2 linked regions of the Struthio camelus genome follow. The protein of the gene in region 1 purifies or fractionates together with the protein of each later gene. This does not show direct contact. Links are inferred from orthologs where the notes say so. Each region holds a gene or a part of one and is shown on either strand. Other genes may lie near its edges.

Evidence for each region. Proteins that work in one complex are often made in the same cells at the same time.
Region 2: the proteins of NPM1 (region 1) and PDCD11 purify together in Homo sapiens (affinity purification with mass spectrometry; 3 studies listed by BioGRID and IntAct, with this or other methods). This does not show direct contact. The link is inferred for Struthio camelus from reciprocal best matches to the Homo sapiens genes NPM1 and PDCD11.

What each region holds. Positions count from the first base shown.
Region 1 is NC_090954.1:20,056,171-20,063,714, reverse strand, and holds the start of NPM1 (nucleophosmin), read right to left. Parts: upstream 3,012-7,544; 5' UTR 2,853-3,011; coding exon 2,789-2,852; intron 1,852-2,788; coding exon 1,772-1,851; intron 1-1,771. UniProt on the Homo sapiens protein: Involved in diverse cellular processes such as ribosome biogenesis, centrosome duplication, protein chaperoning, histone assembly, cell proliferation, and regulation of tumor suppressors p53/TP53 and ARF.
Region 2 is NC_090948.1:15,173,275-15,180,528, forward strand, and holds the start of PDCD11 (protein RRP5 homolog), read right to left. Parts: upstream 3,006-7,254; 5' UTR 2,866-3,005; intron 1,839-2,865; 5' UTR 1,829-1,838; coding exon 1,727-1,828; intron 1,090-1,726; coding exon 955-1,089; intron 1-954. UniProt on the Homo sapiens protein: Essential for the generation of mature 18S rRNA, specifically necessary for cleavages at sites A0, 1 and 2 of the 47S precursor. Directly interacts with U3 snoRNA. Involved in the biogenesis of rRNA.

The sequences.
Region 1 (7,544 bases):
CATGTTCACAGCTGTCATTAAGACCAGGCATTTAAGAAAACCATCACATGCCACTTTCTACCTCCACATACATCAATCCTCCTCCTCTTTCACTTTTATCCTTTTTTCTATCTCATACCAAGCCCCCTGCCACACTTGCGTAACTGACAGGTATGCATCTTTATTCATCTAGTTTTATCAAGTTCATAGAGCACAGTCACCAAGTATTCACTAGCTTCATACCTGAGCTTCCAAAAACTCCTTGCTCTGCTTACCATGTCAATTTTTCTTTGTTTCTAGCTATGTCCAATCCTTTCAGAAATTCCCAGTTTGTCACATGTTATTTCAACTTTCTTGTCTCTCCGACAGGTTACCTCCCTTTGACTTTAAAAGGCAGTTTTCTGAATTAGACCTTTTCTCTCACAACCTCAAAAACTAAGTACTGATGCTGTAAGTCCATCAATTTGCCTCATCCTCCATGAAGAGGTCACAGCAACCGGAAGAGACGGTAATTTTCAAAACTAGGAACTTTGGATAAGCCCACACAACTGAGGTTATCATTCAGTGGCTCATTTCATGTGTGCTACAAACAGGCAGGCATGAGAACAATCCACATCGACTTGCCCTACCCATACTTTACAGTATTCTTCCCTCAAGAGAGATTCTAAAAGGCCATTAAGTACAAAGTGGTCACCGTCAAGTCCAGATTGTGTTTTTCATAAACTGCAAGGACTCTATAAACATAGTTCACACAATACTACAATATTCAAATTAACATCATAAGTGTTATGTATTACTTTGAATGAGTTTTAACTCAGGCAGCCATTGTTATCCTGGACTCCTGTAGGAAGCACTCTAGAATCCTAAAATTCACTTATTTAGAAGTGTCATCAAGACATCTCTCTACATTAAATGCGACTGCAATGTAATGTGATTAAATACACATGCTATTAAATGCTGGACTAAAGTACACAGATGTGACAACGTTTAAATCCCTTCCCTGTGAAGTTGTGTCACGTTTGTGCTAACCAAAACAGAAGTCGCATGCTTAGCCCAGAGTAGAGAAGTGCAGTGTCCTTCTTGCTGGGACAGCAGAAAGAACTAAGGACATATTTAAGAACTCTCAATATGCACACCTTGATTTCAAGGAGTATCCTGTTCAGTGAGCAGCTGCTCTGTCTGATTAAATGTATGAATCAAAGACAGTGTTTCCCATAACATCCTTAAAAAGAGGACAACACTACCAAAAAACGTATCAGAACATAAAAGCCTTTTCCCCTCCAAATTAGATGCAACATTAGCTGCTGATTGGGGGAAAAAGGCACTGGTATTATAATGCTTGGGGAACACAAAGAAAAAGTTTTCAAAGTAAAGTTTCCCCAGTCCGCACCCATCTGTGAAAAATATAAATCCAATCCCTGCTTTTGCTCCTGCAGCATCTAAACCGTTGCACCAGAGATACCAGAAGACATAGGCCTGCCCTCATCCCTTTTAGCAAATTTACTGACCTATTGTGAACTCATTTTTTTTAAAGAACTTTTTTTTTAAAACCTGGTGTCACTTGCTATAAGCCATGAAACAACAATAGAGAATTTTCAAGGTAAAACGGGATGTTCAGTTCCTAATAAGAGGTTATCTAGCAAACTGACTCAAAACACTTGCAAATGCCAGACAGAACAGATGTTTAAGGAACAAATTTACATGTTACAAAAGCTCACTTTTCATAACGTAGCATATTATTACTCAAAAAACAAAATTCAAGCTTGCACCTTAAAAAGTAGATAATACTTGCCGTTCTCAAAGATAACTGATGCTCATTTTCTTCATCATCTACCTTGAACTGATACTCCTTGTCTGCTTTAAGCTCACAGCCTGTAAAAAAAAAAAATCATTAAGTTGCAAGCAAACTATTGTTTTCAGGAACAGGTACTTGCTAGCCACTTGTTACTTAGAAGTGTAATGCTTTCTGCTTTATGGTGCTGCATTTGCATAGAAAACCAACCCCACTGCATGCGTGCAAAGAAACTCAAGAGAAACGCGTAGGGAGGGGAAAACCCCAGGCGAGTCCCGGCCCATGGCCTACCACGCAGCTCCTACCCGCAGCGTCAGCCATTACACTTCGTCCAAGACCAGCCGCTACAAAACCAGCGGCTTCCAGCGCCGCTGCGCACTGCCCGCGCTGCCGCCGGCCATGTGCCACCCCCGGCGAGGCGAGGCGTGGGGCGGGCGGGTCGGCCGGCTTCCCCTCGGGCCGGCAGCGGGCAAGGCGGCCCGCCGCCCTCCACGTGCTCCACCTCCCGCCGCGCCGCCATGTGCTCGGGCCGCCCGCCGGCTCCGCGCCGCCCGCAACGCAACGTGCCCGCGTCCCGAAAGGGACGAGCGGCCGGGCGAGCGGCGACCGGGCCGGGCGGCGGGGGCGCGGGCCAACAAAAGCCAGCCCCCGCCAGGCCGCCGCCGCCACGTGCCAGCGGCCCGCCACGTGGGGCGCGCGCGCCGGCCGAACGCGCGGCTAACGGACGCCGGCGCGCGGCTAACGGACGCGCGGCCAACGGACGCCGGCGCGCGGCCCACCGAGGCCGGCGCCCCCCCCACGGTGTTTCCCCCCCCCCCCCGCGGCGACCGCCGAGGGCCGCAGCAGGCCCGCGGCTCCCATCGGGCCTCGCCGCCGCTGCCAGCCCGCCCCCCCTCCCCCCGCCGCCGCCGCCCACCCGGCCCAGGCGGGGAGCGGAGGCCTAAGGGAGCGGATGGCGGCCGTCAGGGGCCGGGGCCGGGCGAGGAGGGGAGAGCGGGGCGCCGCGGGGGCCGTTACCGAAGAGAAAGGTCTGCGGGCGCAGGGGGCCCATGCTCTCCATGTCCATGGCGCTGTCCTCCATCTTCTCGGGCCTGCTCGGGCGGGAGGCGCGGGGGCGGGATGCGGTGCTGCGGGCGGACGCGCACTAAAGGAAGCCGCGCGCCCGCCCACTCCCAGATATAGCCCGCGCGCTCTCGCGAGAGCGCCGCGCCGCGCCCCGCCCCTCCCCGCCGCCGCCGCCGCCCCACTGCGCAGGCGCCGCGCGGCGTTGGGGGGAGGGGGGGGCGGGCGCCCGCGCGCGCGGCCGGCGGGCGGGCTGGGCGGGGGGCTGCGGCGGTCACAAAATGGTGGCGGGGCCGAGGCGGCCGGCGGGTGAGGCGTTGGCCTGCGAACGAAACCTGCCGTCGCCAACGAGGCAGCCGCGCGGTGGCTCGCGTAGCTCCCTGCCGGCCTTCGTACCCGCGTAGGCGGGGGCTGCCGCGCGCCGGCCGCGCAGCCGGGGCCAGGCGGCGGCGGCAGTGTGCGGGGAGCTCCGCCGGGGCCGGCATTTGATGGGATAAAAGCATATAGCCTCACATCGCCCGGGTGTCTGCAGTGACTGAAACGTGTAATACATAACAGCAGTATTCATAAAGGCAGAAAACGAAACAACGAAGAATCGACATGGTTATTTTACAGCGGCGCTTACATGCCAAAATGTGGCGTTCACCTTCTTCCTTAGCCTCCCGCAAAGCTCGCCCCCTCTTTGAAAAACGGTATATATCTACAGCACGTACGCAGTCAGCTTATTTTGGGATGCAAGGTCTCATATTCTGGTGCAGAATACAATTTGTTTTCCAAATGTGAGGTTACTTAAGCCACAGGCTTCCCAGGATAAAGGCCCCGACAGTCACGTTAACATTAAAACTGCTTGGGGAAACTAAGGTTTTGTCAGGTGGATTGCCACAGGATAACTAAAATAACAGTAAGAATGAAATCAGCTTCTGTGTGGAAAAAAAAAAAAGGTACAAGCGTAGATAGTCGTGCTTTTTACCCTGTGACTGAGGATGGGAGATTTGGGCCCTGGGAGGTCACTGTGAGCACCCTCTTCTAGAATCAGAATGGTTTAGTTGGGAAGAGACCTCTGGCATCATCTGGTCCAACACCCTGCTCAACGCAGCACCCCCAAGTCACGTTAAGGGAGGGCTAGTTTGCTACGGTGCAGTAACTAACAAATGCTAGCTACAGCTGATTTGGAAATGCTGATACAAGTAAAAATTATGGGGTTTTTTTTCTGTTTCTCTTCTCAATTTCCTACCAGCTCTTACTCTTTATTTAAATACATGGTGGCACAGTTGTAGGATGTGACAATTAAGGGCTTTTAAGCAAAACCAGAGAAACTAACAGTCATTTTTATTTCTCTTTCTTCTTTTGCATCCTACAGTAGAAACATTGGTTAATTTGCAAACTGTGCATCATATATAGACAGAGAAATAACACACTGGTGGATGTCAAGTCAAAACAAAGTTTTGCCCTGTTTTGAGCCTGGTTTCAGCTCCTACGAAAGCTCTGTGAGCATTCCTGAGTTGCATAACAGGTTTATTGTTCCAGTGGAACATGTATGTGGATATTGTGGGTATGGGACCAGAATCATCTCTCCAGACACTAAGTTCGTGTCAGAAAAAAAAGAACTGTATCAGGGCAAAGACTTTAAGCCAGATGCATCTGTTAATGGGGAACTCATGCTGGGAACAGGGAAGAGGTGACAGGAGCATGGACACTTCTATAACAGGTGTGGGGCACTGCATTTTGCTTCGGCCCATATTCTGCGTTCCTCTTGATGTATTCTTTTTCACAAGTAGTTTTTCCTTCCCTGCTGCATCTTTGTTTCCTAAGAGTTCACTGGCCCACGCAGCTCATTGTACCCTACAGTCGCGTTTGCCACGTGCAACAGTGTTCGCCTCTGAATGTGCCACGGGACACACCATGAACGCTCCTGAGGCAACTGCAGGTAACAGTTAAGAGAACGTAAGTGCGCCCGATCAACATATCTCATTACACGGACATGGAAATGCAGAATTATCTAACATATCACTGATCTGGTACAAGTAAGACTTAATTAGTTAAGTTTGGTACAAGTAAGACTTAATTAGTTAGGTTTGCATCTGTTTTCTATTACAATGCCAAATTTAAGAGCTTGAGAGACATTTTTAACATCAGGAGGGAAAGGATGAAGACAAGTGTTTGAAAACATAAACACCAGGGAGATGCTTTGCTCTGTATGAATGTAAGATAAGGGCAGTCCACAGTTGTGTCTAATCTTATAATTTTGTTTAAGCGTTCATTAGGAGATAGATGGTGAATGAAAACAGGGAAGGTTCTCCACGAGGAGGCACAGTTTCTTTAAATTGGTAACAAAGCCAAAGAAAAGGTGTTGAAGGAGCATAAATCCTCAGGGAGGTGGAGAAAGATTTCAAGGACAATACAGTCTTTTCCCTGTCATTTCTAAGTTCGTGGCTTGGTATTAGAAGGAAGTAGCCTTCTTCGTGGCCTCTGCTACCATGGCACAGCAGACTGAAGAACTGCCACGCCGAAGATGCAGTGTTGCCACTCTTGAGTTTTTACTAGGAGTAATAATTTTGGGCGTAAAGCTCCCATTATCAGCATCCTGAGATTAAAGCCAGGAGGTGAATTCCAAACAGAGAGACAGCCCTCACGACGGTACGGAAAAACTCTAATCTTAAAAAGGGCCCAAGTATCAAAAGATAAACAGAACAAGCTGTCTGTGGACAGAAGAACTGATGCAGGTTGCTTTCCTAGGGACTTGTGTTTCCCAGCTGGTGTCTGATAAGGTGGCATCTCCCCCAGAAACTTCCTGATTAGGGCACTTCAAACCACTCTGTACTGTGTGGTTTCTCTAGTGTCTAGAGATGAACTCACTTTTTTCTGCAGGTCCAAAAAAAGACCGTTTCCCTCACCTGTGCTCAGCCAGCCGTTTGTATGGAACTTGCAGGAATCTGAGACCTCTGGCATTCAGCTGAACGTGGCTCAAACAGCACACCCGAGTCAGTTTTCGGGATAAGAACAGAGCGATCACAAAAGCATCACGGACAATCCTTCCAATTTACTCCTCTTAAAATCTCCTTAGGAAACGAGAGAGGGAACAGTGCTTATTTCATTTTCTGACCTTTAGTTTGGTTCATTTCTTATTATCTTTTAGAAGCAATTAATTCTAAGGGTGGACTTTAACGTAGGAAGAGTGGCAGTTTGGCAGTCCCGGATAGGGAAGGTGCAGGCATCTGCGAAGCAGCAGAGGCAGAAAAGCTCATCGAGTGTGGCAGCTGGTATCACTGGCAGAGCACAGGCATCACTATTTGATCAGCTGTTTCAGCCAAGAGGAGCTGTACTGACACAGATAAGACGTTTGTTTGATTTGGCTTGAAAATCGGAACCGGTATCAAAATTTAAAACGTAGTTTTGGCCCGATCTCAATGGCAAACAGACTGGAGTGGACGGGTGAATAACGCACAGCGACAGCAAAAGAGGCTGCAGCCGTTTGCACGTGCGCTTACCTGATGTAGTGCCAACGGCGGTACCCGACTGCTTGTGCAAACCAGCTGGAAACCTGCTGGGCGCAGCACTCGGCAGCTCGCAGGGCAGCCCGCGCTCGCAGGCCTCCACCCCGTCCTGTCGAAGGCGAACGGCGCAGCCACGGCAGCCCTTGCGCGGACAGAGTCGCTTTTAATTCAATTACAGTTTTCCATTACCAAGGAAATAAATGTGGGAGGAAACAAAGAACAGACACAGAGAGGCAAAACAAGGGTAGGAAGTGGAAGATAGATGCTTTCTGCGTCCCGTTTGGCTCCATAGGGCTTTACAAGGATTGTCATATATCATGACATTTATTATTTCTGTCATGTACTACGACGAGAAGTCCATTACAATATCGATCATTTCACTCTGCTTGAGTCTGCACTATGTGATACTCAGCGTAGCTGAAAAGTGATTTAGAAATAGCTGTACAGGGAGGACTGAGGCAGAAATCGGAGTCAACGTAGTTACCCTTAATAAAATCCTCTTTTTAGTAACCTTTTAGGAAATGGCATTGTAAACCGTGTTACAGCCACAGGACAGTTGCACAGCCAAGCAGTCAGAAGTTACAGGCAGAATTAAGATTTCTTATGCAGCCTTAACTGACACCCTGACATAACGATACAACCTTCAGCTATATTGCCACATACTCCCTTCACAGGATGCTTCCTCCTTTCAGTAGCTAGTAATTTCTGCCCCTGGAAAACTCAGGGCCAAATTTCTAAAAGGCATCAAAGCCCTTGCCCTTCCTTGAAATCAAGAAGCAGAATGCACTTTGAAACTTGAAAATCCAAATCTTTCAACTTAACCTGAAACAACTACCGGCTAGTTATAATAATCAGGTTGGGGCAAAAAGGGGTTGCACAAGGAAAGCCCAAGATAGTTATCGTTAGTATGACAGTATTTTTAGTTTGCTTTAAATGATTGTTACTACTGCCAGCACCTCGGCATCCTCTTCATTTAATTTTGGAGCGCTACAAGTTCTTTTGCAGACACTCTGCAACTTGCGTTAAAGAGCACTAAAACTAAAATTTTGCATAAAATACAGGTTCTGTAAAAACAAGCTAAAATTAAGGCTGATGAAGCATTTTGTTGTGTTTTTGAAAGAGTACAATGGTTGCACTGCTTTGTTTTTTAAAAATCAGATTCTCCTTACCTTCAGTAACAGGTAAACCAGTGTATTCCGCGACTACCAATCTTCTCC
Region 2 (7,254 bases), on another chromosome or scaffold:
CACTCTCTATTTACAGGTTTAATGAGGAAGAACATGCAATGCCTACCAAGCCTGAAAAAGAAAAAGGCTGAAATAGTACTTGCACCTGGTATTTTATAATGCATTCTGCACAGATCAGAATTACTCCCACTTCGCTAGGGGAAAACAGATAAAGTAATCTATCCAGCAGGTCAGTGACAGAGCTGGGAACAGACTCATGTCTCCAAGTTCCAGTCCCATACTCCATTTTTGATGTCACACCAAAAGCAAAAAGGAGCTCACCAGCATTTACCACCTTAACTCACACCATAATCAAGACAGATCCACCAGTTACATCAGTACTTAATAATCGGAAGTGACAGGAGTCAACAGAAAAGGCCTCGTTCTAGAAACTCTATAAATAATAAGAAAGCCACAAAACAGCCTGGACATCTTGCCAGGGTATGGGAAGAGACAGGAAGAGACCTCTATCTTGTCATGGGGACAGGAATGACTGGTGGGCTTACTACGCTCAAGAGAAACAACCACAGGTGTACAAATCACGCGTTACTTCTCAGTCCACAGCACTTGACCCAAAGAATTCATGGAGCACTTTTGAAATAAGATTTTCTTTCCAAACCAGATACAGAGTTCTCACACTGGCACATACGACAGGTCCCTCCACACCAGAATCCAACCTAGGATTGACCAGAAGTTTTTGTTCCCTTGAAAGATTTAAGAATTACCAGAAACTCCAGCTGATGCACTACAACATGCCCATCATATATCTCTCTCTCTCTCTGGGCTCTAGCACACGACGACCGAGACCCTGAAAACACTACAATTAGTACCTCTTCCAAGCTATCGTTACTTAACTACCAAGGTTGCTATTATAAAAGAAATATCTACCCCCTTTTTTAAGCCTCATGTAGATCCTGGCTCATCATCTTCTTGTGAACAACAGATGCACACAAAACCAAACATTTATCCACAAACCTCAACTGTGAGTGGTTCAAAATTCGTAACACTGTCCTTAAAAGTGGCTTTTTGGTCCGGCTTGAACTTCTTCTTCTGCTTTCCTTGATCTCCTTGACTCCCTTTTCTTTTCTGTGTTTGTTCTTCATGATGAATCTAAAGCAGATTATATAAGCAGTCAGGAAAATAACAAAAGTAAGCAAAGAGATGACCACCGTGCTAAGGAAGAACTCCACTGCTAGGAATACAATTAGAGGAAAATACCAGGACTGTAGAGAAAAGGGAACACCCTTGCTAATCCCTATGTGTCTACATGCAAGTCTTCCAAAATATCTCCTTTTGGGCTGAGGCTGACCATTTATAAAACTGTAAAACTTACAGCGCTCAGAAGTATACGGTAAAAGTGATTTGCAACATCTGCCACTAAATAGAAAGACTAACAAACTTGGCCTACATCCACTGACTCCAGCATCACTATACAAATTGGTCCAATCCTGCCACGCAGAAGCGAGCAACTCAGGATCAGATACTTGTGGAACGTTAAAATATTGAAGTCTGATCAGTAATTTTGATTGAAGTTTTTGTCATCACGTTCACCAAGTACCAGATGTCCAAGACATCTAAAAGGTCACAAGACTGGTGCATGTCAGCAGATATGTCTTTCCCAAAGTCCCAATAACACAAACGCTATCAGACAAATCTATAGAAGTCAGTGATAGGAAGGATTTCAGGCTATAGTCTGACAGTGGAAGAGCTCTGAGAAGAGTTAATTGAGAACATACAAACAACATACATCAAATAAGTTGTCCTGCTCTATCTTTGGCTTAGGTGTTTTTCCCTCCGTGGGTTTTTTCTGGGTGCCACCTCGAGGAAAGTTTTCTTCCATGGATGCCATGTTTACACTTCTAGGGGGCAAACAACAAAACAGATTAAATATACAGTTATTATGACTACTCCTCACCAAAACCAAAAAAAGCCAAAAGAGTTACTCAAAAACTAAACAAGAATTCCGATGCCTACTTTGCAATTAATCAGTGGCAAAATCCAAACTCTCGCCCAAACGTCTCTAACGTTTGACTACACCGAAGTGTTGTGAGGGTGTATCTAAACATATGCACCCCTACCTTTTTTTTTTAAACTACTGCCCAATTCTACTTGACTAAAGTATCAATTTTCTAAGGCAATTAAAGCACCCTGCACATATTCAGAAAAGCATTTTAGTGACATATGTTCTCAGTAGAGGCCTCTGTTGCACTAAACGGACAAGCTGAAATTACCAGCTTTAGTCATTAAGCAGAAAAATCTTGATTAAAACAATACGTAAGCTTGGTCTGCGTTCTGACTTTTGAGCTGCTGCCTTAAAACGTGATATGACTTCACTGGTCATTGTGCAAACTAGGAATAGGCCTATATGTATTTAACTTAACAGCTATACTTAATCTTACTTTGCTTCAATTAAGAAATAAAAGCCTTTTTTATTAGGTCATGGTTCACATTCTGTGAATTACTTCGGTCCACAGCACTTACATGGAAATCAGCATTACCTTGTTAGCTTGAGAGCTTTTTAAATGGTTTATTAATCATGCAAAAACTACTTTAAACACGTTGAGTACATAATAAAACTAAAGCTCATCAAAAACACGCTTAATCAAAAGACCCACGCAGCAGTAAGACATCTTCCACGGCTGGTAACTGAACCACTTGCATGGGGGGGTCCCACCTTCTCGCACCTCCCTTCTCAGAGCTGCTCCCAACTCCCAAGACACTCTCCACTTTGGATTAAACACTCTTAAAAACTTAAAGTAACAGAAAGATTTCCTGCCTTCTCAGCGCAGGCACCGCTCCGACTAGAGCGCGGTAACCCGGGGCCGCCCAGGCCTTCCCGCAGCCACCCGCGGCCGCGCACCCAGCCGCCCCGGGGGGCTCCCTTACCTCCCGGGGCCTCCTGCCGCTCCGGGGCCCGCGGGCCTCCCTCGCTGCCGCGGGACCGGGCCGGGACTCGGCCAGGGCCGGGGCCGAGACCGGGGCCGAGATCACCCGCACCTCCCTCCCTCGGCTGCACGTGCGGCCGCCGCGCCGCCCGGAAACACCGCGCGCAGGGCAAGGGTCAAAGGGCAAAGGACAAGCGGAAGCAGCGAGCGGGCCCCGCGGCCAACCAGAGGGGAAGGGGGAGGAGGACCGCCCCCCTCGGCGGCGCAGCCAATCCGCGCCTCTCGCCGCGGCGCCGTACGGTTCGCGCGGCCCAGTAGGCGCCGGCGGGCGGGCGGGGTGCTGGCGGCCGCCATTTTGTGGGAGGGCGTTAGCGAAGGGCAGAGCGCGGCAGCGGCTGAAGGGTGGCTCCGGCCCAGGTACTTGGGGGCGCCCCGCGGGGAGGGGGCTGTCCCGTCCCGAGGGGTCGTCGGGGCCGGCGCCTCCTGCGCTGGCGAGCCGGGCCCGGCTCGGCCCTCAGCGTTGGGCTGGGGCGGGCGGGCGGGTGGCGGCGCCGGTCAAGGGCATCGGGCCGCCCCGAGGGAGGCGGGTGGCGGTGAGCCGCCCGCGGCCGCTGCGGCCTGGGCAGGTGACCTTGCCTTCCCCCGACCCCTGCTGCCAGCACGGAGGGGTTTTACTTACCTAACGTCCGCGGGCGGCGTGGGGTAATGAGCCCGGGTGCGTGCAGGGGGGCCGGCCTGATAGCGGCCTGGAGCTGCGCCGTTGGGTCGGGCTGGTGCAGCAGTTGCGTTGATGACGGGGAACCTGCTGCGGAGGTTCCCCGCCGCCCTCTCCTGCGAGCGGTGCCGCCCCTCGGCCTGGTTCGGCGCGTAACCCTATGGCACGCGTACCGCTTCTGCGCTGCGTTAGCAAATAACGAATATTTATCCTCAATATATTTTAAAACCAAAATGTATCTTTAAGCATAAGGAAACAACTTTTTTTTTTTTTTTTTGTGCTCTGAGGGTGTTTGAATGCAGACTGCCCGGAGAGGTTGTGGAGTCTCCATCCTTGGAGATTTTCAAAACCTCTCTGGCCACAGTCTTGGGTAACCTGCTCTAGCTGACCCTGTTGTGAGCAGAGGGTTGGACCTGACAATTTCCAGAGGTCCCCTCCAACCTCAGCTGTTCTGTGATTCTAAATGTATATTATTGATATGCTAATCTTCTTACTGTCACGTTAACCAGCTCCTCACAGAGGATCTGAAACTCTCATCTAGACAGACAAAATTCAAAAGTGTGTTCTCGTGTACTTGGTGGTTTTGGTGTGCCTGTGAAAGCACTTCACAGTGCTGTGTAATGCTCTGAGGCTGGGTAGCCAGCTCAGTTGACTCAGTGCTCTAGCAGAAAACTAACCAGCAAAATATATATATATATATATATATTTTTTTTTTTAGCCAAGCCTATGAGTGTTTAGGGTGGGCACAAAAGATGCAGTGGAAACGTGCAACTGCGAGCAGGGCTGTTTTCATTGACAGCTTGCACCGTCATAGACAGCATAAAAGAGTTGCAAAACTGCATTTTGAATCACAAAATGTAGCAGGGGTCTAGTCCCAATTTTGTCAACCGGTTTTTGATATATAGTTGTCATAGCTGAACTAGTGAAGATTTATCTTGATTAGGTATTGCAAATTCCTGAACAACCAGTAGAAGGTTGCCTCTTTTGAATGATTGTAGGCAGGACTGGCAGTTCTCTCTTTTGTAAGTATTTTAAAGAATTTTCCCTTACCTCTTCATCAAACTGATTTTTTTTTTTCCATGCTTAAACTCAGTCGAATGAATTCAGAAAATCATAAATCTTTCTGTCCAGAACCCCTCACTTCCATGTGTGCGTTCATGTCACTTGCGTGGCATTGTATTTTAAGATATAAGTGCTCTGAATATGTCTACCCCTTATGTATTTTTAGTGTCTGTTGAATGTCCTGAGAGCAGACTTAATACTTGACAAGGGAAGTATTAAGTTCAGTGTAGAGTTTAAAACAATTATGTAGTCATCCTGTCGCAACTCACTGTAAAACTCATTAACTTTATTGCTTGTTAGGACAAGTGACCATGGCAGGCCATGACTCAGGATCTCAACACCAGTTCACTGGATTTCAGAAATACTTCAATTCCTATACCATCACAGGCAGGAGGAATGTATGTATTATGTAAATTAACTTTTGTAGTCTAGCATAATGGTGTTTTGGGGGGTTTTAGCCTGAAACTAAACTTTTATGTTTTTCAGTATGTAATAGCGACGTATACAAGCATTGCAATGCTCATCTTATACTTCAAGCTTAGGCCTAAAAAGAAAACTCCTGCTGTGGCAGAAAAGTAAATGGTAAGTGGCTGGTGTTCTTCCAGGACCAAAATGATTCAATGCCAGTCCAAGGAGAAGGAGTGAGGAAGGATGAGTTGCTAACAAAATATGATTAGAGATAGACGTGTAGGCACAGGAACCTCATGGTTCAGTTGAGGTTTAAAATGGTAAATACAAAGTCAGTTTGCTTTGGAGTATTTTGAAAGAAGTTGGTTGCTAATGGGGCATGTGGAAATTATGGGTTACCAGGATTGTTACTCTTCTGGAACGGTAAAGAGGGTTAGAGATGTTAGAGGGGGAGGAAGAGCAAGCAAGAAAGGGGGAATGGAAGGGGGTTGCAGCTAGGTGTCTCGGGCTTTGCCTAAAACAACAGTGCCTCTAGCCTGACGTTTGCTGTAAAATAGGGCTAACCTGTCACTTTATTGGGTATAGAAGTAATGAAGTAATATTTGAGGACTTGTTTGTTAGTGATATTGGAGAATTCCAAGAAGAGATTAATACATTCTCTTCAAACCTTGCTTTAAACAGAGTAAAGGAACTATATACCCTGCACACCTGATTATGGAAGAGTCCTATAGAACAGTGCTTAGACTAACGTAGTGAATCCCTGGAAGGGTGAACTAAGCCTGCATGGGTGGCTATTCTTCTTATTTCTTAACATAAGCATTTGACTTGTGAGTTAGAGCATGTTAAAAAGAAGGTCCATGCGACTAAATCTGATAAAGCTTAGCAGACTTCTACGTTCTGGTATAGCAACAAACAAGTGTTACAAAATACTGGCAAATAGTAGAGTCCACTTTCAAATACAAAATTCCCACTGAAATGGCGTTTTGAAAGAAACTGTGGGCTGTCCTTATAATCTGCAGTAACTGGAAACTAATAAGCTTAGCATGTTAAAAGAATATCTGTCATTTTTGTCTTGGGTATGGTCAAGCTTGCTTGCTCGCTCTTAACTAGTATTGTTTGGCCTTTAGGGAGAGGGACGCTTGGTCACTAGTACCACAGTGCAAGACTTGCTATGGTTGATCTCTCTTCTGTTGGCAGGTTGCTGGCATGGCTGAACCTCCCATCATTGTAACAGAAGTTGATGTCCTGTTATGGCTAGTCTAATAAAATATATACAATGACTTGTTTTATCTAAAATATGAAATGGTGAAACGGAGCATAATTGTGACACTTAGCTTTTTTTTTTTTTTCCTCTGTCAAAAATATTTATCTGTAGTGAAGTAGCTGATTCTTGTCACGGCTAGCCTGACTTAACTCTTTTGCCGTTATGATATATCATCCTAAAATGTCCTGAGCACCAGTAGCAACGTGGCCATGAGAGACTTCAGCAGCATGAATGTCCTACCAAGCACAGAGCTTGCAGCTGATCGAAGCATCTCCACGCTTCCAAATGGCTTACTGGTTGTCCTGGCTGCTCCCAATTTCTGGATTCTAAGTTGGTGTTTTAAAAGTTTAAAAGGAAACCATGGCTCCTTCGCTCATAGCAATTTGATGCAGATTAATAGGATTTCCTTCTGCCTCAGTTGTCTGTATTGTGCAACTTCTCATTACAGAACCTGTTTGCTTTGGATGGAAAAACCTCCCAAATCTAGTGTGCGTGCCCCCTTTTCCCAGGGAGGACAAAAGATTGATTATATGGAGGTGCTTGTTTTCTTTTGCTTATCAATTACTTCGATTCCTAATCTCAATGTTATCTATTATATAGTGCAGTGACTCCTCAGCATTCAGCTCAGAGTCTTGCTTTGCACTGCTTTAGTCACCTTAGTTGAAAGATTGGGGGTGAGGGAGTTAGAGGACCAAAACAATGAATTGCAGCGCTTGATGCTGGAGCCCAGCTATTAAATAGGGTATTTAAGTTTTTTCTGTTAGAAGCCTCTCTTGCAAAAGTAACTGTTTCTGTTAGCTGTGCAGGAGAGGCTTGTAACAGCCAGAAAGAAAATGGCTTACTTCTTGCTGATATTAAACCCTTATAATGGATTGTGTGTTGCTTGTCCAACCTGGAGCGTATCATGCCACATCAAGGCCAAGTGTTTTGCACCTTTCTGG